4 linked regions of the Arabidopsis thaliana genome follow. The protein of the gene in region 2 interacts with the protein of the main gene of each other region in a pairwise test. Each region holds a gene or a part of one and is shown on either strand. Other genes may lie near its edges.

Region 1 (5,450 bases), on a different chromosome or scaffold from region 2:
CTTGTCAGTGAGACCAGTACCGAAAGGAGGCGTCTTAGGAGTGACAAGACCGAGAGCCACGGATCCGACTACGTAAGGAAACCCTACAGTTTCAGACAGGAAAGTGGCGGTGCACAACATGACGCAAATGGTGCATAGATGGGAAGCCTTGAGTTTCTTTCCTTCAGGGGTTCTCTTCACTATCCAGTTGAATATTGGTCGGCACACAACTACTATACCAACCAGCAGTAGTACCTTTGTGAAGGTAGGCAGATAAGTGGTCTTGGAGTAATTTTGATGCAAGAAACTGTCAAAGGTAATCAAAAGGAGGAAAAAACCCCAGCCGAAGCAGTTAGCCACCATTATGGAGGAGAGGGCTAACCTTCCGGGCTCCGAGTTCAGCATCTTGAGATTCGACAAAACCGAATACGCCACTTGAAAATACACTACGGATTGGTTTGTTAGTAAATTGTGGAGCTGCTCGGGATTATTTTTCGCCACGGTTCCACGGATGTTGCTCGTGATTACTGTACATGCTATGGCGCCCACCACGTAAGGAAACAGAAAAAGAGATAATCCATTGATGATTGCTAGCTTGCCTCCTCGCTTTATAACTCCCATGTCCACTTGAGCCGTGCTTATGTATGAGATGAACATGAAGGATATTGCCTCAAATGATTCTATTATGAAATAGCTTCTTGTGTTGAATAATTTTTTTACTAAATCAATGTTTTGTCCCAAAGCCGAGGGTCCTAAGAATATCCCAGCCTGTTTCATATATACCAACAAAATATCACACTTCTATAGTTTAAACCTTTTTTTCTTTGCGGGAAATATAGAGAGATCCAAAATTTATTAAAAAAAACGTAGAAAATGGTATGATAAAGTGATTACATACCAGAATTTGAGTGACGAAGTCGACATTTGCGAGAGGGCGGAGAAGAGCTTGGAAGACGGAAGAGAGAGAAGAGACGAGAGAAATGAGAAGAAGAAGAAGAGGAGTTGAATATTTCAATGGATCATCTCCTCTAAGTAATCCGCCAGAGCTTGATCCCAACCATGCCTCGCATACAAATTCATGTGTGCCATTACTTGTAACACTATTGTTCATCTTGTTTCTCTTTGGGAATATTTTTTCTTCTTAAAACTAGTATTCACGTTCTTCTTTATAACCATTTTTGTTTGTGTTTTTGAATTCAGCATAACGCTAACTAATTGAGCAAACAGATCAAGCTTGTTGAGCTGGGGAAGAAGATACATGTATCTTTTTTAAGATATTAAACAGTTTTTGTTGTTTTTTCAAGGATTTTGTGTTGACTTTATTATAACCGTCAGAGAAAAATAGGAAATTATATATGTCATATCTCACTTTGGCAGATGTATTTTTTGGTATTTTACACATTTTTTTTTTATTATAGTTTTATTTTTTTGTTGATCCTGATCTTTTTTAAATTAATACTTATAAGGAGTATTACTAGGTTGATTATTAATTAATCTTTTTTTGTTAGGGATCTAACTTCATGGATTTAGTAGCTAGGTTGGTTATTATAACATCAACATGCAAAATATATATTACAAACACACATGTTTGTGCAATCAATCTCAGGCTATAATGATGATCATCTGACCATGCTCAAGATTTTTGTACCACACAGAAAACATATATAGAAAACCTTAAAAGTAGGATGACCTCTAAAGAGAAATAAAGAACAAGAGGATAAACAACATGTACAATTAAACCCCTAAATATAGCTAGAGAGAGCAGAAACAAAAAAAAGAAGAGAATAATTAATACTTTCTTCTTTTCTTCAACTCACAACACAATCTCTCTCTTTCCCTCTATGGCTTGACTCTTTAGGGGAAATACCTAGCAGGAGGGAATGGAAAATATAACCAAAACTTTTCAGTACGGAGGAGTTGATTGGCTTTGCGAGCCATGGGTAGGTGCAGGCTCTTTGGGGATTGGCCGGGGAGAGAATCCGCTCAAGTTTGCTCTTCCTCTTCTTCTCCTTCAGATTTCTGTCTTTTCCATATTTTCCGTATCTTTTCAGTTTCTTCTTCGGCCTTTTGGAAAATTTGCATTCCTCACTCAGATGCTGGTATACGTTTCCATATCTAAGCATCTATAATTGGAAGCTTTCTAGTGGAAAAATATGGACTAGTCGTCTCAAAAACATGTATAGCCATGCCCATAATGGTGTAAATGTGACTTAATATTTAATAGTGAATTTGTTTGCAGGCTGGGATCTGCTTAGGACCGTCCGTTATAGGACGTAACAAACAGTACATGGCTACATTCTTCTACGCGAGAAGCGTGTACATAATCGAATCCTTCGAGGCCATATGTTTTCTCTTCATTTGCTACATCACAACATGTCAAGTAGACACTAGGATGATAAAGAGAGTAGGCAAGTTAGCATTCATAAACGGCATCTTACTTTTCCTCATACCTTTCGTATGGGGCCAATTCGCGGCCATCTTGATCTCCAAGAGGCTCAAAAGCGGGCCTGCGGGGATCCCTCCCGTGGAGTTCCACCATGTAGCGATCGTCCAGTCCACAATGTTTTTTCAGGTGGTTTACGGAGTCTTGTCGAGCCTAAAGATGTTGAACACTGAGCCAGGGAGGTTAGCACTTGCATCCATGATGGTGCATGACTGCCTCTCTTGGTGTTTTTTCATGCTTAACATCGCCATTAAACTTAATGTTGACTTACCCAATAAAAATCGCGCTGCTTTCTTGTCCGTCTTACAGGTACCCAAGTTGATAAATAATTTCTTAATTAATCTACAAATTTTGCTTTGGAACATCTTCCAATTTTCTTACTATAAAAACATAATTGACTGTGTAAATTCCTACAAAAATAGACAAACTAACTAAGATCCTAATAAAATGCATGAATCCAATAATATTTACGTATAGTATAAACTTGCTTTGATCTATATATACGCTTTTTTATTAATGATATAAAGACGGAAATGAATGCAGATGATAATGATATTGGTGATAGCATATGTGTTCCGACCACTAATGCTGTGGATGAAGAATCGAACACCAGAAGGACACTCTCTCAAGGCCTCCTATCTCTCTGTTATATGCGTCTTGCTCTTCATCTCCTGCCTCTGGGCAGAATTTGTGGGTTTACCTTACTTCTTTGGTGCGGTCGTCTTAGGTCTAGCCACCCCAAAACGTCCGCCTCTAGGCACGGGACTGTCAGACAAAATCGGTTGTTTTGTTTGGTCTGTCCTGATGCCTTGCTACGTCATTGGGATTGGCCTCAATATCGATCTCTCACTGTTTTCCTGGAGAGATGTTATCCGGTTTGAGCTACTTTTTGGGGTGGTCAGGTTTGCCAAAATGATAGCCATTGCCTTGCCTTCCCTTTACTATAAAGTGCCTCTTTGGCACGCCATTCTTGTCGGGTTTATCGTCAATATACAAGGACTTTACGACGTTCAAATATACAAACAGAATTTCAATTACACGGTAACAATAATTCATTTAGGATATACTTTGGAACATATATAATTTTAGGTCAATAACAATCAATAATGGTCAATGGGTGCAGAAAATATCAAGCAAATCTTTTGGAGCAATGGTGATGTCAGCAACGGTAAACTCGACAATTTTCATAGTGATAGTGAAGAAACTGTACCAAACCATGAGCAAACGCAACCCTTACAAGAGACGTACGGTGCAACACTGCCGAGTGGAGGCTCCCCTAAGGATCCTCACTTGTTTCCGGAACCGTGAGGCGGTCCGCCCGGTGCTTGACCTCGTCGAACTCTCTCGTCCAGCCATCGGGTCTCCTCTCTCAGTCTTCGCGGTGAATCTAGAAGAGCTTAATAACCATAGTCTTCCCCTCCTTATCCATCACACGCAAGAGATTAGTCCCTTCCTCGTGCCTAGCCGAAGGGACCAGATCGTTAAGGCCTTCCACAACTTCGAGAAGACTAATCAGGAGACCGTGTTGATAGAGTGCTTCACGGCAGTGGCACCGCGAAAGACGATGCACGAGGACGTGTGTGCGATTGCCTTTGACCAGGAAACAGATATTGTGATCCTAACTCTTGATGCCGGGATCGAGTTATGGGAGAGGCTCCTGTGTCGTAATCTCCTGCACAACTGTCCCTGCTCTGTTGCGCTTTTCATAGACAGAGGAAGGCTCCCAGATTTCAGGTTCGTTCCACTGAAAAAGCTTACCATCAATATTGGTGCTATCTTCTTAGGAGGACCAGATGACCGTGAAATGCTTGCGTATGCAACACGCTTAGCCAGCCATCCAAGCGTCGAGCTCCAAGTCTTCCGGCTCGTGGACCAGAACGGCGTCTCTCCGCTCAGAGACATGGTCGAGAGGAATCACGACATGAGAGTCATCAACGTCTTCCGCAAAGAAAATTCCGAGAAAAACATCATCTTCAGAGAGGTAATGAGAACTATTTTGCCTTGGCTTGGAAGCTATCTTATTTCCCCTTAGACGAAACCTTCTCTATGCAACAGAGGTTTCTATTCGGTTTAGAAAGTTTCTTGTGTAGACGAAACAGAGGTTTTTCTTTATCTAACCTATCATAATGTGTTCCCCTGTTTCTAACATTCTTAAAGGTAAGAATAGAGGAAGCAGTGAATCTACTGGATCTACTAAGGAAGGAAGGGGACGACTTCGATCTGATGATGGTCGGGATAAGACACGAAGAAAATCTTTTGATGTTGGAAGGATTGTCAGAATGGAGCGATATGAAGGAGTTAGGAGAGGTTGGAGATGTGTTGATCTCCAAAGATCTCGAGCTCTCTGTTTCGGTTCTCGCCGTACAGCAATGAGATTGGTGACCGTTTATCTCGTTTTCGTTCCCCGAGTTTATGGATTTGTACAGCCTTTTGTAGAATATTGAATACAAATTTTTTTCTAAAAAAGTTCTACCATTCAAGAAGATATCTTGTTTACTTATATCTTTCAAATCATTCCAGAGCATGTGATCACCAATGAAATTTCAACAGAGATTAACAGATTGTTCAATCATTTGGTTTAGTTAAGTACTTACCATCTTTACTTTTTTTTTTGTAGCTGTTCAGGTTAATGCATTTGCTGCACAAAAAGAACTTATGAATCTTGAACAACTGTGAGGTTGAAATTTGGATTTGCGGAAAAGAAGACCAAGTCCATTAGTTTGTCTACTCTTTTTACTTTTTAATAGCTTCAAAAAACAAACAGAACACAAAATTATTTCACACACAAATAAAGTTGATGTTGAGTAATATCGACACCTCAACAGGTTCAAATTTTACTAAACAGTTAGAAACAACAACAGTAACAATTATCCTACTATGAAACCCTTTGGGATAGACCCAATGGTGACAATGGTGCGGCTCCATAACACTCGTTATTGCTCTTATTTGATCTCCAGGAAATAGTTGATATTGCTCGGCTCACGTTTCCTTCTCTTGGGTAAGGCCGGTGGTTTAGGTAAAGCACCAC
Region 2 (4,660 bases):
AAGCTTTTAATCGAAGGATATGGAAGTTATCGATTAGAAAGATGAGGTTTTACTATCTTCCTTATTGTTTCTCTGAATGGTTTCTCGGCGCATAAATATATATAATGGATCACCAAGAATTTTCATGTTATTTTGCTCATTAGAAATCACCAAGAATTTTCATGTATAGCATTTCCGAACTTAGAATTTTCTAATATGAAACAATTTAGAACTAAAAGGCCTTTTGGGTTGTGTCCAAAAAGAAAAACCTCACACGTTGACAATGTAAAATTCCATGATTTATTATAAACTCTTTCATGCATGCAATTGGTTAGTTTTTGCAAGTTGGGCTACAATGACGTTTTTGTTATCGGTTTCTCAATCACTCCTTTTCTGTCTCCATGTATCGTCGTCACTTTCCTCTATTTTACTTGAAAATAATACCATTAATTCAAAACATCTTTTAATTTGGTCGGTTCAAAACAAAATAAAAAACCATAGCCATTATTTGATAGTAACTGCAGTTCAATTGCATTTTTATTTGTGATAATAGATGGAGCAAAATTAGTTTGTCAACAATTTTTTCTTTCGTAATACTAAAATTTATTTTCTTTGGTAGAAGCTTGTCAGTGTGTAACATGAAGAGAGGATTTTGGAACCGGATACAATACATTGATAAGAGAGGAATCAATGATTTGATTAAACAAAGCCAAGACGAACCGGACTAAACCGGAGATAGAAAAAATACTTTATAAACCAGAAATCAATAGAAACACACCAAGGGAAGAAGAAGGGAAAGCAAGCAAGCACCAGAAGATTCTAAGTATACTACTAACAAGCTTTAAACTGAACACAAACCCCAAACCGAAGAGAATAAAAACAGAGTATTCTACATAGTCTTGCATAGTTACGTTTCATCAGCCAAAACTTGAAAAGAAGAGAAGCCAGTGAAAACAAAAGTTTGAATCTCTGAACAAGGAGCAACCGAAATAAACAGTTTACCTTTAGTTTAAGAAGAGCAACATGCTCGTTTCGCGCCTCCAGATGTGTCATCGACGTTAATCGTAGTTCCTTGCCCAGGGATTGCAGAATTAGCTGCTGCTGCTTCTTGTGCAGCCAGTGCCTTTTTGCTTATGATATGGTAGATCTCACCTAAGATGGTCTGAAACGCTTTCTCGACGTTTGTTGCTTCAAGAGCAGATGTCTCCAGGAAAGAGAGACCTTCCTTCTCAGCCAAACTTTGACCATCTTCCTCAGCAACGGATCTCAAGTGGTTCAGATCGGATTTGTTCCCAGCCATCATGATCACAATGTTGGAATCTGCATGGTCTCTCAGTTCGCGCAGCCACCTTAAAACATTGTCAAAGGTCTGTCTCTTAGTAATGTCGTAGACAAGAAGTGCACCCACTGCGCCTCTGTAATACGCGCTTGTGATCGCCCTGTACCTCTCCTGACCTGCAGTGTCCCAGATCTGGGCCTTAATGGTCTTTCCTTCAACCTGTGTATGCATGAGAGATTCACCGTAACAACCAGTTAGATCTTAGGTATTGAAGCATTCCCAGGTTTATGAATAAGAATGCTAATTCAACAATCAAAAGTAAAGAACATATATCTTCTCAGTTGTTAAAACCAGGTTAGTAACATTATTAACAATCAACATTTTAAATGCATCTTTCCGCATTCAACTACATAAGTGTATCATAGAATTCCTCTTGTCAAAAAATTTATCGGTTGACTTTACGAAAGTATAAAGGTGGACAAGGTCAAGCATGACAAATGATCAGGAAATAGAATGAATTATTGAGACAAGCTGTGAGAATCTTCTTATTTTTTTTAATTGGCCTTCACGACCATCCATTTATAGTCTTAAAATGAGAAAAGCATCTGTCATAACTCATAGCCAGCACAACTAAGATTTTTTCTCTTGAACAAAAGATTCAGTAGCTGAGAAAAAATCCGCCGTCTACTCTCTCAAAACACTGTATTCTTCAATCTTAAGAAACCAACGCAACCAAAAACCTTAAGACCTATCACTTAATTGCTATCCAAATCAAAGAAACTAACGAAGAAGCAACTTTAAACGAAACAAAACAGACTAAAAGCTCTAGAGCCATCACTTGAAATTAACCATCGAATACCTGAATTCTACACTACACTAATGAGGTCATGAAGCTACAAGCAAAACCAAATTACATAATTGAAATATACACTACACTAATGTGGTCATGAAGCTACAAGCAAAACCAAAATACATAACTGAAGACGGTAAATCTATGTATAGCAGTGAAAGTAAAAACCTTCACGGATTATAGCTAAAGATAAATCAAAACAGAGACAAGCTAATAAGAAGAAAAAACCTATCCCAAAATCCCATCTTTAAGCCTCTTAACATTATATACCAAACCTAAATTACTATCTCTTCGTATTACTCTGATTCTAACAGCAAATATTCTGAATTTCACTCCTAAAGTACTTAAAGAGAGAAACAGAGAAAAATTCGAATCTCACCTGAGTAGTTCTGGTGGCGAATTCAACACCAATAGTGGATTTAGATTCCAAGCAAAACTCATTCCTGGTGAATCTCGACAAGATATTCGATTTCCCAACACCAGAATCACCAATCAACACAATCTTAAACAAATAATCATATTCCTGATCTACTCTATGCGTCATTTTCTCCTTCTCTCTTCGATCTCGCAATAAAACCTACAAATTCGAAAGAAAAAAAAGACAGAAACTTTATTACTTTTCTCCAAAATCAAACCCAGATCCAACGAAATTAAGACGAACCCACAAGTAATTCAGAAGACGAAAAACGATTCGTGTACCTTAATGGCGGATGAATCGAGAAAAATATCGAATTTTTTGAGATCTATAAAGAAAGAAACTTTGAGTAAGAAGCTTTAAATGTTTGTTCTCACTCACAATCAATGGAGGAAAATGGAATTTTTCTTGTTTAATTTGATGGGCTTCGTCTTCTTCTTCGTGAGAAAGAGGAGAGGAGCAATAAAGTGAATATACGGTGTATCTATACGTATCTCTGTGTCAGGGAATAGAAACGACGTCGCGTTTGAGAAAAAGACAAAGACTTCAGTTATCGTGCTGATGTGGCAACTAATGATTCGTTAGCAGGCTGGCAAAAAGTAAGAGCATGTTCCAAGGGGTATTATTGGAAATGTAGTTTTGAGCTTTATAATTGCGTTAAAGAGCAATGATTGTATTTGTGAGTGTGGTAATGATAATAAGCAACGTCAATTTGAAAATGTCGAATTAACAACTTTAATAGAAGAAGAAAATAATGAAATGAGGATGTGATGAATTGACCACTACATTCCCAACTTCCCATAATATTTGTAAGAATATAGTTCTGATCCATATAATATAATTAAACAATGTGGTGGTTCTGGTGGCGATGGCCGATGGGCAAATGAAGATGGTAGTGGATCATGTGGCGGCTTTAGAAGGCAACATGCTACAAGTCTAGTGGAAAATACGTCGGAGATTGCGATGGTAATAGGCTAATAGCTATAGAGGACGAGACTAGTCTTTTGGTGCGACACATATAGAATGTTACATTCTAATCTGATGAAGATGAGGACCATTAAGTCATTAACGCTAAATTATTAATCCCTGAAACGTCATACTTTTTTTCAACCTAACGTAATAACTTCATTTTGTTATAAATTTGATTTTGTGCCCTCTAATAAACCAAGTTTTTTTTTTGTTTTTTTTTATCGCAAAAACATCAAATAATTAAATTTGTTCGAAAAAGTTAGTTTCGTGGGCCAACTACTCCGAAACGAGAGGGTTTATATGGGAAAAAAGTACACCTCGTACTCTTGCACTCTTTGCGAGGCAGACAACACGGACATTCATAGTGCGTGGAATATGAGATAAAGAAAACCGACCAAAACTAGCTTTAAATCTAGCAAAATCTTTTCCACCGGCCAATCTTTACTTTCATCAAGGATCTTAAGTAAGCTTAAGCAATCGGTTTCAAAATGTATAGATTGGATACTTTGTTGTAAAGTGCACTCCATTGTCCAAAGAAGAGCTCCGAGTTCTGCGTAGAGGGCATTGCGATAACAATTCTGGCTACTTTGACCAAACAGCTTGGTCGTTGAGCTAGTCAACATGAACCCCAAACTAACATTCTGGTTAATACCAGTCCACGAAGCGTCAATTTGGCACATAGCTTCTCCTCTTTGAACGTGCGCATACTCACAAGCTTCAACTACTTCAGGTTCTTCCTCCGCATCAATGTCATGTTCTAGTTCTTGGGCAACTCTCCAACTTTTCGACTCAGAAATTACATGCGCTAGAATATATGGTGTTATGTACTCCCGTAACGTATTTTCAAAAAGTATATATTTGACCTATTTAAACATTTATTACTTTAGGTTATGAATAATCCTGACGCAATTCTTGCTGATTAGTCTTGACGCAATTGTACGTTGCTATTGATTTTAAACGAATACAGCACAAAAGAAGGCAATCGCGTGGACGAAAGAGGAGCCGATACATACAATTGCATACATCTATTTGTATACTATATTTGCTTTCTATTGGATAATTCACCCTAACTATTAAGAGTACATTTAGTCACAATATCTAAATTAAATCTATAAATGTGAATATGCACATAGAGTTTTCACAAGTGGTCATATTTTAAGGATAATAT
Region 3 (4,668 bases), on a different chromosome or scaffold from region 2:
AATACCCCCAGATGACTAGTATGTAATGGGTTCTCTAGCACCCTAACCGATCAAAAAAGGCTCCTAAAACAATGTAAATGACTCGAATCTTTTTTAACAAATTTTTATGATGGCTCATACTTTTTCCATACGAAGCCAAGCAAGCATGAAATGCATTGATACAAATAAGCACATCCACATAATTGAAATTTTAGAGACGTGTGTCAAACACACTTGTCATAAGAAGTTTTGCATGCCGTAAATATTTTGCAGTCATTGGATTGTAGATCCCTAGCCCACAAAATGGAGACAGTGTCCAAGTATAGACGAACTTAGAAGAGTACATGGACCAGGCCCAATATTGGAGTTTCCTAATGTTCTTCTTGGAATAAGAGAGTGTGTGAGAGACCAATATAGCTAACTAGACCAATTATAAGGAATGGATTGAGTAGAATTTTTAACCTAATGGCCTAATATGATATGTATATAGGCCAGTAGCGACACACCTCAATATATTTATAATTCAGTGATTTCTGAAACTATTACACATGCATCAACTGATAGATACCTCAAAAATAATTCAGTAGATGGTCTGATCAAGAAATGACACTGATATCTTTATTATTACGATCATCTAAATAAAACATAGATAATATAGAATTAGCCTGTCTTGTGCAGAATCTATTATGAGACAATGAAAAAAAAAGTAAAAGCAAACACTCTATCAACTTCAAGCTCCAGTTTCTTCATATCCATGGACCGGGGAAAAGCATTTTCCGATGTTGATCTCACCGGAATGTTCTCTCCTCCCCGGCTACTCTTTTGTTAGTTTTCATTTTCTTTTGCAAAACAAACCCAAAAAACTGCCTCCTAAACCATCCTCACTGCTTCGCCTGCTCAATGATTGCAAAGAACATAGGAAGAACGTCAATGAATTATATTAGAACTAGAAATTGTTCACTAAAGAACCAAGTACTAGAGGTAGGTAAACAAGAATAAGTTTGTTTGTTTACCTGTGAGTAGAGGAAAGTTCCAAAAATCGCAATGGCAGCACCGAGGGCATTAACCGGTTGAATCGGGGTATGGAAAATGATGATCGATGCAACAATAACGGAAATCCGCTTCATCGTATTACCGATACTGAAAGTTAACGGCGAAATCTGGTCTAATGACATGTATGAGACCTGATTGTACAAATGGTAAAACACACTTTGTGCCACTACCCACCTATTGATTCAAAAAACAAAAACAACACATTAAGTTAGAATCTTATATCTTAAGTTAGAAGGGAACTAAAGCAATATATACCAATCCACTCATAGTCATTTGAGTTGGAGTCTATAAAACTTAACAAACAATTAAAGATTATTGATTTGGTTTTTAGATCATACCAGACAAAGTTTGGTCCGACTTGAGAAACCGCATTTTGCCAACCAGCAGCCCACATTTGAGGACCTTCCACGGCAATAGAAAATGGAGTGAGGATCACAAGAGACATCATCGATAAGCAAGCGTAGTAGTTCATTCCGCTCACTGACTTCCCTTTCATCCCTTTCTTCGAAAAGATATTCCGGAACACAAATGCCAAATTCGATATCATTGCCCCCATAAACCCTACAAAAAAAATTCCACAAAGTTTCACATAAGACCATAAATCAAAGAAATGTCACCATGTGAAACCAATATTCTAGGATTGTGAGTTTTACCAGTGATGTTGAAGTTAAGCTCGGTGATGGCCGCGAGAGCGCAGCCTCCGATGATTGGTAAGAGAGAGAGATAGACAGGAAGAGGGAAAGTCTCTCCCATGAAGAATCTTGAGACTAAGACACTGAAAGCTGGTTCACCACTTTTAATGATGTGTGTGAAGGAAACTGCTACTTTTGACATACTCACTGTTGCTGCAACGTGTCCTATCGTGTGTGCTACAGCGACCTTGAAGAATAAGAAAAAACGGGAACATCGATCAAAACACACTCTTTCATTATCAGACAACAAACAAAATTATAAATCCATCAAGCAACAACATCATGAAAATACCTAAACCATTACCGGAAGACAGATCTCAAGATCAGTTTCATGCTCGAAAGTACACTAAATTCTTACATGAAAACAGAGAAGATATAAAATACTTACATGAAAACAGAGAATCTAAAATTCTTACCGTAAAACAGAGTAAATCATGACTTTTTACCAGAAAACAGAATAAATCATGAATTCGTACCGGAAAAACAGAGTATTCCAGAAACTGAGCTCTCAATCGTAAAAAAAAAAGATTGAAACTTTTGAGGCAACAACTACACACAATAAACCCTAATTACTTACCGGGAACAGAGTTTTCCAGAACTCGAGATCAGTTTTAGGAGCATCTGCGATTCTAGTAGCCCAAGAGACAAGCATCATCAAAGAACCACAAGCGAGAGACAACGTCGAAGTAAGCCACGGGTAAGGAAAAGCATTGAGGACTTTCTTGTTGTAGATGTTGAAGACAACGTTAAGTGCCCACCAAGTTGCGAAGTAGATTCCGATTTTCAGTTTCTGCGCGGATTGTTCATCGGGAAGCTCGATGTTGATGTCCAGTGGACGGGAACGATCGGCCTCGTAAGCTTCGACTTTGACCTCACGCTTGAAATTCGAAGCAGATGAAATGTGTAGAGGCTTTTGATGGGAGACAACATTAGCGTTAAAGCTTTGGTTATGGCAGTTTTTGATGATGAGTAAAGGAGAAAACTTGAGCTTTGTAGGAATTGACCGCCTTACGCTGCCGGAGATAGCGGTGGAGAAGGAAGACGAAGATGGTTTGATTGAAGAAAGCATTGTGCTTTTTTATGGCTAATTGATGAAGACTATGATCTCGAGGTGGGTTTTAAGATTTTATCAGAGAGAGAGAGACTTTGTGTTGTTGGGAAAATGGAAGAAGAAGAAGAAGAGAATTTATAGAAAGATTGAGAACAGAGGAGGGAAAGATTTCGTTTTTGAGTGTAACGACAAGTTCGACTATTCAGATATTTTTATAATATACGAATATACCCTTTGTGGTTATGGTTTGGTGGTTTATATTGTATGGGGTAATTTTGTCAACATATCCGAGAGGCGGTGCATGAGCTGATGATATTGACATTAAGATCCGTTTAAGGTTTTTCTAAATTATGAATATCATCAAATAAAAGTTTATAATCGTAAAAATAGTTGGTTGTATACTAATAATTTTCTGGAATAAAAAAAAAAAACTAGTGAAAATTGAGAAAATATTGTTTTTCGTTTAAACTTTGTCGTCATTAGTTATAAACTTTTAATAATCTACGACCATGAAGAAACCAAGTGTTAATCTTTGGGTCTTACGTTACGTTACGTTATGGAAGCAAATATCAATTTTGAAATAGTACACAATACACGTACCCAATTATCTTCTTGATATTTATCGCTTTTGTTAAGATTAAATTGAATTCAAAAAAATCTGAGACGTTCATCTTTTTGTTGCCTACTAAAACCATAGGGTAATTTATAAGAAAATGCCTGAAAATAGTATTAATATAAGTTTCTCAAAAACAATTATAAAAAATAATGATTGATTTAGGATATTAATCATTTATTTGAATTTTTGAAATTTGGTCAGTCCTCGGAATACCACATTTTATGCTTTATTTTCCAAAATTACCACCAAAAATCATAAAATTTACTAAAATGTTTAGGCTTTACAAGGGTTACTAATATTTTGGAGAGAATTAAAAATGATTAGTCTAAATTTGAAGAAAGAGTTTTAGGAGTTTTCAAGTTTTGGGCTTAGTAATTCTTAATAAACGTTTAGAGACCCTTCCTAAGCCTAGATTTTGTGATATTTTGGGACCTTTTCCAAAGTAATGGCATTTTTAAATACTAAAAATTTGTTTTTGTGGTACTTCTCTTTGATTTTATTTTCTTTTATATCATAGAGGTATAAGAATTTTCAATATTCAAGAATTTTATTTTCTCCTCCTTTGTGGACTTAAAATATTTCCAACCACGAGTTTGATAATATTGCCGTCAATAGTTGTCACGAGTCAATGAGTAATTTACATGTGACAAGTTAGTTTGTAAGTTGAGCTATAATATAATGGAATGGGAACATCATAAGTTATAAAAAGAAATGTTGAAAAAGGTGTGTCTTTTAGTATTGAAAATTTTATATCGTTAATTACCAAAATTCATCGATGAAATAGATCGTTGTAAACCAGCGGGCAACGCCAATACAATGAACATAGTTCCATTATTATCACATCGTTTTGGCAACAATAACACGAATTCGAACAACACAATGTATCGTTTGTCATTTTCATTCGTCATTGATGCTAACGAGGTAACGACAATAAAAAGAAGAACAGGAACAATAGTATTAAATATATAATATATTTGTGTATGTTAATGTAATGTTAATTTGGACCGTTGATATAAAAGAAGGTCTGGTCACATGTTGGACGTACAGGCTTCACCCATTGATGTAACCTTGCAAATGGAATTCTCACCGTAGAAAATATCACAAGAGGAAAATTACAAAACATACACAAAGTTGTTGAACACATGCAACTCTCATTACACGACAAGCTCTCTCTTCACCAACACTGATTCATAGAACACATGTGTCCATTTGCCTGCATATGTGTGTGTTTATAGGTCAGGTAATAAATTTGGTTCATATTCGACGGCTAGGAAAGA
Region 4 (5,914 bases), on a different chromosome or scaffold from region 2:
CGTTGAAATTATCAATCATCCAACGAATGAAATCGCAGGGGATGGCTTTGTCTTCACTACTCATTACGTAAACTCGTTGCACCGAACCATATCCTTCCTCGCTAAACTTTTCTTTCTTTGATAGATCCTCTGTGAAAAATGACCCTTGCCTATGCAACATTTTTGCCAGCTCGTAATCCTTCACAGTGTAACCATCATGTAACCACACACCAAAACTAATTAATAATCATCTCATACGATGATTCATATTCGAAAACTTTAGCACATAGTTTGAATATAGATTTTGTTGTTTTGGCGTAACAAATTTTAGAGATTTGTGGGAACAATACCTCTATGGGACAATTTTGGTAAAGACGTGCCTTCATGAATTTTGGTCCCATCTTCAATAAACTCATCGTCCCATTTCTTGTTTCATGAGATGAAAACTCACAATCTCCCAAACCTCCAGGCATCTCCATATACTTTATTATTATCATCAACCAAACCAAGAATTATTTTCATGGTATTAAGATAAGTTGGTCAAATTATAAAAAACTACTAGTATCAAAATTATTTTTGTTATTTTATTGTTAACCTTGTCCAGAACGTGAGAAGGCACGTGGGTTGTGTCGGGCAAGAAGGCGTTGAGGAACACAAGAACCTTAATCTTCGCCGGAAATATGTCGGCGGCGAGAGCGATGTTGATGCCTCCGAAGCTGAATCCAACCAGAATTACCTCTTCGTTCTCTGGAAGAGATTTGAGGGTTTCGATCAACGGTTTGGAGTATTCGTCGACGGTTTCAACGGCCTGGATTGGTCGTGGGTCGATCCCGGAGGCGGCGAGTTCGACAGCAGTAACGCGGTGGCCGGCTGATTCAAGGAGGGGCTTGAGCTTGTACCAGATCCAGGCTCCATGATAAGCGTTGTGAACTAACACGAAGTGATGTTTCCTCTCCATATGTCTCCGTAGACGTTTTCTTTTTGGTTAAGGTTCTTTGCTTGTTTGAGAATAGCGTGATAAAGTTGGGATATGAGTATGACGTTATTATTATATAGTGATAGTGGGATAAGGTTCATATACGTTACGCTGTTAATAACTTCTTATGTTATGACACATGTTCAGATTTACTAGTCTCCTCGGTCGGCTGTTGTATACTTTTGTATACTTGTATTTAGATATATTTTAAATAAATAAAGCAGAATTCTGTAATCACACTTAGCTAAATTACATTAATTTTTTTGGACATTTAAAAAAATATATGAGTACATCACAGTTTCAATCTAATAACGGACCAACACATGTAAGATTTTGACATCCGCGATTAGATGGACGTAAAAAAGGCTTAATTAACGGAACTAATTGAACACGATAAACACGTGCCTGTTAAGTGTTAACCGACCTAATCTTCATATTGATCTGAGAATCTTCACAGCTTCCCTTCCTTCTTTGAGTCTAGCCGGCCCATGGGCCGTGAAACACTGTGACTGTGACTCTCTTTTATTGACTCATTTTAACCTTTTCCTTTTGCCTTTTGGTACCAATTTTTAACTTTTCCTTTGTACAGGGAGATTCGCTTCCTTTTTTTAGGCTGGCCATTTCGTCTTAGTGAGTGGTGTATAGTTGGCCATTTCAGTCAGCTGTATTATAGCCTCATTGTCAATGATGTCGAAAATCATTCCTCAATTTACACAATGGTTGTCAGGTAAAAAACAACGAGAGTTGATAAGTAGATTTAGGAGGGAAAAAAGAAAAAGACAATTTAGTTAGTCTTCTTTTACATCCACGTAATTAAATAGCACATCGTTCCAAACATCATTATCAAAGTTCATTAGTTATTTAGGGAAATTACAAGTTGCACGGAGAAAAAGCAGTTCGTGGACCAACATTGGACTTTTCTTTCAGACAAAGGCCATTAGCGAGCGAGAGTGATAATTGCGAAATTGCCAAAAAACGCAAAGTCTACCACTAGACAAGAAAATCGAAGCTTTTCACTTTCTCTTTTTTCTGTTTTGTTGTCTTTGGTTCTACTCTCCGCACTGAATCTTTCGATCAGCGATAATTGTTTCCTTCTTTTGGGATTTTCTCCTTGGGTACGAGGTTCTTTCCTTCTTTTATTTGCTCTGTTTTTGAGATTTGGAATTGTTATCAAGTCTGACAAAATTGGTCACTAATCTTTCTGGGAAATTGAGCATGTTCGTGTTCTTGCATCCGTTTGACTCTTTTTCTATGCAAAGTCTCAACCTTTCAATAGTGGAATTTATTCTTATCCCTAATTTCTCTTTACCAGACCTATTTTTAGCTAAGTTTGGTTGAATTTAGAAAGTCTTTGATTCATAGTTGAAGAGATTCTCTCCATTAATCTTTCTCTGTAATGTGTCAGATCCACTAAAAGTAAGTAAGAAAAAGATTTTGTTGTAATGTTATTAAATGTGTCTTTGTAGATGGAACCAGCTCAATTAATGAGATGAGATGAGAATGTTCAGCTTGCAGAAGATGGCTATGGCTTTTACTCTCTTGTTTTTTGCCTGTTTATGCTCATTTGTGTCTCCAGATGCTCAAGGTGATGCCTTTTCTTACTTTTCAACTGCTATTTTGTTGCTCTCATTTCTTGTTTCGTTTCTGGTAATTTCTGAGCTTGTTCAGGTTGAAGATTTAACTCTATGATTCTTTGCTTTTCCATTTTCAGGGGATGCACTGTTTGCGTTGAGGATCTCCTTACGTGCATTACCGAATCAGCTAAGTGACTGGAATCAGAACCAAGTTAATCCTTGCACTTGGTCCCAAGTTATTTGTGATGACAAAAACTTTGTCACTTCTCTGTAAGTTTAATGACAACTCTGAATTAGTCAATGTTGTTTCCATGTGAGAAGATTTATATTCATGTCATTTGTGATTGCAGTACATTGTCAGATATGAACTTCTCGGGAACCTTGTCTTCAAGAGTAGGAATCCTAGAAAATCTCAAGACTCTGTAAGTGCTTTAGATTGAGTCTCTCTTTTTGTCTGAAATCCTAGAACATAGATATTAGGTTGTGAGCATTTCGCTACCTTCTTTTTATATATAGTACTTTAAAGGGAAATGGAATTACGGGTGAAATACCAGAAGACTTTGGAAATCTGACTAGCTTGACTAGTTTGGATTTGGAGGACAATCAGCTAACTGGTCGTATACCATCCACTATCGGTAATCTCAAGAAACTTCAGTTCTTGTAAGTAGTTCCGCCTCACAATGCTGTTAAATCTTGCACATGTTTTAAAACATTTTTAAGACGTAGAAAAGGATTACTCATGTCTTTATTCACTTGTGTGTTGGCTAAACAGGACCTTGAGTAGGAACAAACTTAATGGGACTATTCCGGAGTCACTCACTGGTCTTCCAAACCTGTTAAACCTGTGAGTTACTGTTCTTTGTGTTTATGCTTACCATCTTTCTGGAAGCATCCTTGTCTTAATTCCATTGTTTGAAACTATGTTTACAGGCTGCTTGATTCCAATAGTCTCAGTGGTCAGATTCCTCAAAGTCTGTTTGAGATCCCAAAATATAAGTATGTTTGACTACTTCAAGTTTAATCTAGCATGCTCATTTCTTTAGCAGTAATTTGATCTGTTTCTAATCGACTATAGTTTCACGTCAAACAACTTGAATTGTGGCGGTCGTCAACCTCACCCTTGTGTATCCGCGGTTGCCCATTCAGGTAAACTACTTCACTTTGCGATTGCTCTGACCGCATTTTCTTTATTTTCAACCATTTCAAAAGTATGAAAGACTGAAAACATCTAATCTGCGGTGATAGGTGATTCAAGCAAGCCTAAAACTGGCATTATTGCTGGAGTTGTTGCTGGAGTTACAGTTGTTCTCTTTGGAATCTTGTTGTTTCTGTTCTGCAAGGATAGGCATAAAGGATATAGACGTGATGTGTTTGTGGATGTTGCAGGTCTGTAATATACCCTACAGGGAAACCTTTCTTTCGTATTTCGTATTTCGGTATGTTATGATGTATTGATATGCAGATTTGTGGAACTTTACTATTTTTCAGGTGAAGTGGACAGGAGAATTGCATTTGGACAGTTGAAAAGGTTTGCATGGAGAGAGCTCCAGTTAGCGACAGATAACTTCAGCGAAAAGAATGTACTTGGTCAAGGAGGCTTTGGGAAAGTTTACAAAGGAGTGCTTCCGGATAACACCAAAGTTGCTGTGAAGAGATTGACGGATTTCGAAAGTCCTGGTGGAGATGCTGCTTTCCAAAGGGAAGTAGAGATGATAAGTGTAGCTGTTCATAGGAATCTACTCCGTCTTATCGGGTTCTGCACCACACAAACAGAACGCCTTTTGGTTTATCCCTTCATGCAGAATCTAAGTCTTGCACATCGTCTGAGAGAGATCAAAGCAGGCGACCCGGTTCTAGATTGGGAGACGAGGAAACGGATTGCCTTAGGAGCAGCGCGTGGTTTTGAGTATCTTCATGAACATTGCAATCCGAAGATCATACATCGTGATGTGAAAGCAGCTAATGTGTTACTAGATGAAGATTTTGAAGCAGTGGTTGGTGATTTTGGTTTAGCCAAGCTAGTAGATGTTAGAAGGACTAATGTGACTACTCAAGTTCGAGGAACAATGGGTCACATTGCACCAGAATATTTATCAACAGGGAAATCATCAGAGAGAACCGATGTTTTCGGGTATGGAATTATGCTTCTTGAGCTTGTTACAGGACAACGCGCAATAGACTTTTCACGTTTGGAGGAAGAAGATGATGTCTTGTTACTTGACCACGTATGTATAATCAAATAATCCTACCTCGAAGTAGCTTCTCTCAAGCTTTATTGACCGTAATCTTTTGGATCTTTTTTTTGTTTTGGACAGGTGAAGAAACTGGAAAGAGAGAAGAGATTAGGAGCAATCGTAGATAAGAATTTGGATGGAGAGTATATAAAAGAAGAAGTAGAGATGATGATACAAGTGGCTTTGCTTTGTACACAAGGTTCACCAGAAGACCGACCAGTGATGTCTGAAGTTGTGAGGATGTTAGAAGGAGAAGGGCTTGCGGAGAGATGGGAAGAGTGGCAAAACGTGGAAGTCACGAGACGTCATGAGTTTGAACGGTTGCAGAGGAGATTTGATTGGGGTGAAGATTCTATGCATAACCAAGATGCCATTGAATTATCTGGTGGAAGATGACCAAAAACATCAAACCTTGAGTTTACTGTAAAGTTGCCAACTTCACTTTTTTGTTTTGTTCTTCGGTGAAGAAGTAAAATCAGTTGTATAAATCTTGTTTTTGTTTCATGATGTATCTTTTGACTTTAATAAATTCTGTGAATGAAAAGAACTATGATGTTTTGTTGACTTTTTTCGTTGACCGCAAGAAACCTTTTTGTCGTCTTATACTGTCAGGCCTATTACAAAGTTGTCGTTTATATGGGCCTAATATGGGCTTTTAAATACATGTTTTCTGTCCCAAGTTGTCCTAGTTTTGCCAACTCAATTTATGATTTTTTTTTTTAATTATATCACAAAATAAAGATTTCTGTATTCTCTGACATGAAAATTAATATTTATTATTGAAAAATCGTTGTTTTCATATTTGAATAGAAAACAAGAAGAACAAAAAATTAACATATTTTTAATCATCTCTAAATTGTGTTAGATACAATAGCAATGTATTTTAAAGATTTTTATGTTCATGATCGAAAATATCCAAAAATATTTAAGATTGAAGAATGGATAATAATATACATTATCCATTGACAAAAAAAATCTATACATCATTATCATTTGGATACGGATGAAGTAAATTCCCTAATTGCACAAGATCTTTACAAGCCTCGATTATGTGTCAATTCAACATTATAACAAAATTAATAATAATAAAATAGATTCAATGAGTGATTTTTCTATAAAACCTAATGAGAGATCACTTTATCTGACATCAC

What was found.
Region 1: the proteins of RABA2c (region 2) and CHX27 interact in a protein complementation assay, tested with the Arabidopsis thaliana proteins (one large-scale study listed by BioGRID).
Region 3: the proteins of RABA2c (region 2) and GPT2 interact in a protein complementation assay, tested with the Arabidopsis thaliana proteins (one large-scale study listed by BioGRID).
Region 4: the proteins of RABA2c (region 2) and AT5G10290 interact in a protein complementation assay, tested with the Arabidopsis thaliana proteins (one large-scale study listed by BioGRID).

Annotation. Positions count from the first base shown.
Region 1 is NC_003076.8:255,551-261,000, forward strand, and holds CHX27 (cation/H+ exchanger 27), read left to right. Parts: upstream 1-1,755; 5' UTR 1,756-1,859; coding exon 1,860-2,078; intron 2,079-2,218; coding exon 2,219-2,731; intron 2,732-2,965; coding exon 2,966-3,463; intron 3,464-3,545; coding exon 3,546-4,403; intron 4,404-4,579; coding exon 4,580-4,795; 3' UTR 4,796-4,940; downstream 4,941-5,450. Other genes in the region: CHX26 (cation/H+ exchanger 26), read right to left, coding at 1-747, 878-1,090; AT5G01700 (Protein phosphatase 2C family protein), read right to left, coding at 5,298-5,450. UniProt on the Arabidopsis thaliana protein: May operate as a cation/H(+) antiporter.
Region 2 is NC_003074.8:17,245,711-17,250,370, forward strand, and holds RABA2c (RAB GTPase homolog A2C), read right to left. Parts: upstream 3,114-4,660; 5' UTR 2,808-3,113; intron 2,686-2,807; 5' UTR 2,653-2,685; coding exon 2,488-2,652; intron 1,478-2,487; coding exon 989-1,477; 3' UTR 518-988; downstream 1-517. UniProt on the Arabidopsis thaliana protein: Intracellular vesicle trafficking and protein transport.
Region 3 is NC_003070.9:22,822,652-22,827,319, reverse strand, and holds GPT2 (glucose-6-phosphate/phosphate translocator 2), read right to left. Parts: upstream 2,907-4,668; 5' UTR 2,794-2,906; coding exon 2,302-2,793; intron 1,912-2,301; coding exon 1,686-1,911; intron 1,594-1,685; coding exon 1,371-1,593; intron 1,207-1,370; coding exon 915-1,206; 3' UTR 873-914; coding exon of another isoform or gene 861-872; 3' UTR 537-860; downstream 1-536. UniProt on the Arabidopsis thaliana protein: Glucose 6-phosphate (Glc6P) transporter. Also transports inorganic phosphate, 3-phosphoglycerate, triose phosphates and, to a leser extent, phosphoenolpyruvate.
Region 4 is NC_003076.8:3,234,707-3,240,620, reverse strand, and holds AT5G10290 (leucine-rich repeat transmembrane protein kinase family protein), read left to right. Parts: upstream 1-1,812; 5' UTR 1,813-2,070; intron 2,071-2,222; exon of another isoform or gene 2,223-2,421; 5' UTR 2,422-2,449; coding exon 2,450-2,540; intron 2,541-2,666; coding exon 2,667-2,799; intron 2,800-2,879; coding exon 2,880-2,951; intron 2,952-3,045; coding exon 3,046-3,189; intron 3,190-3,301; coding exon 3,302-3,373; intron 3,374-3,459; coding exon 3,460-3,525; intron 3,526-3,604; coding exon 3,605-3,675; intron 3,676-3,774; coding exon 3,775-3,915; intron 3,916-4,017; coding exon 4,018-4,754; intron 4,755-4,844; coding exon 4,845-5,159; 3' UTR 5,160-5,363; downstream 5,364-5,914. Other genes in the region: MES5 (methyl esterase 5), read right to left, coding at 1-178, 330-461, 575-937.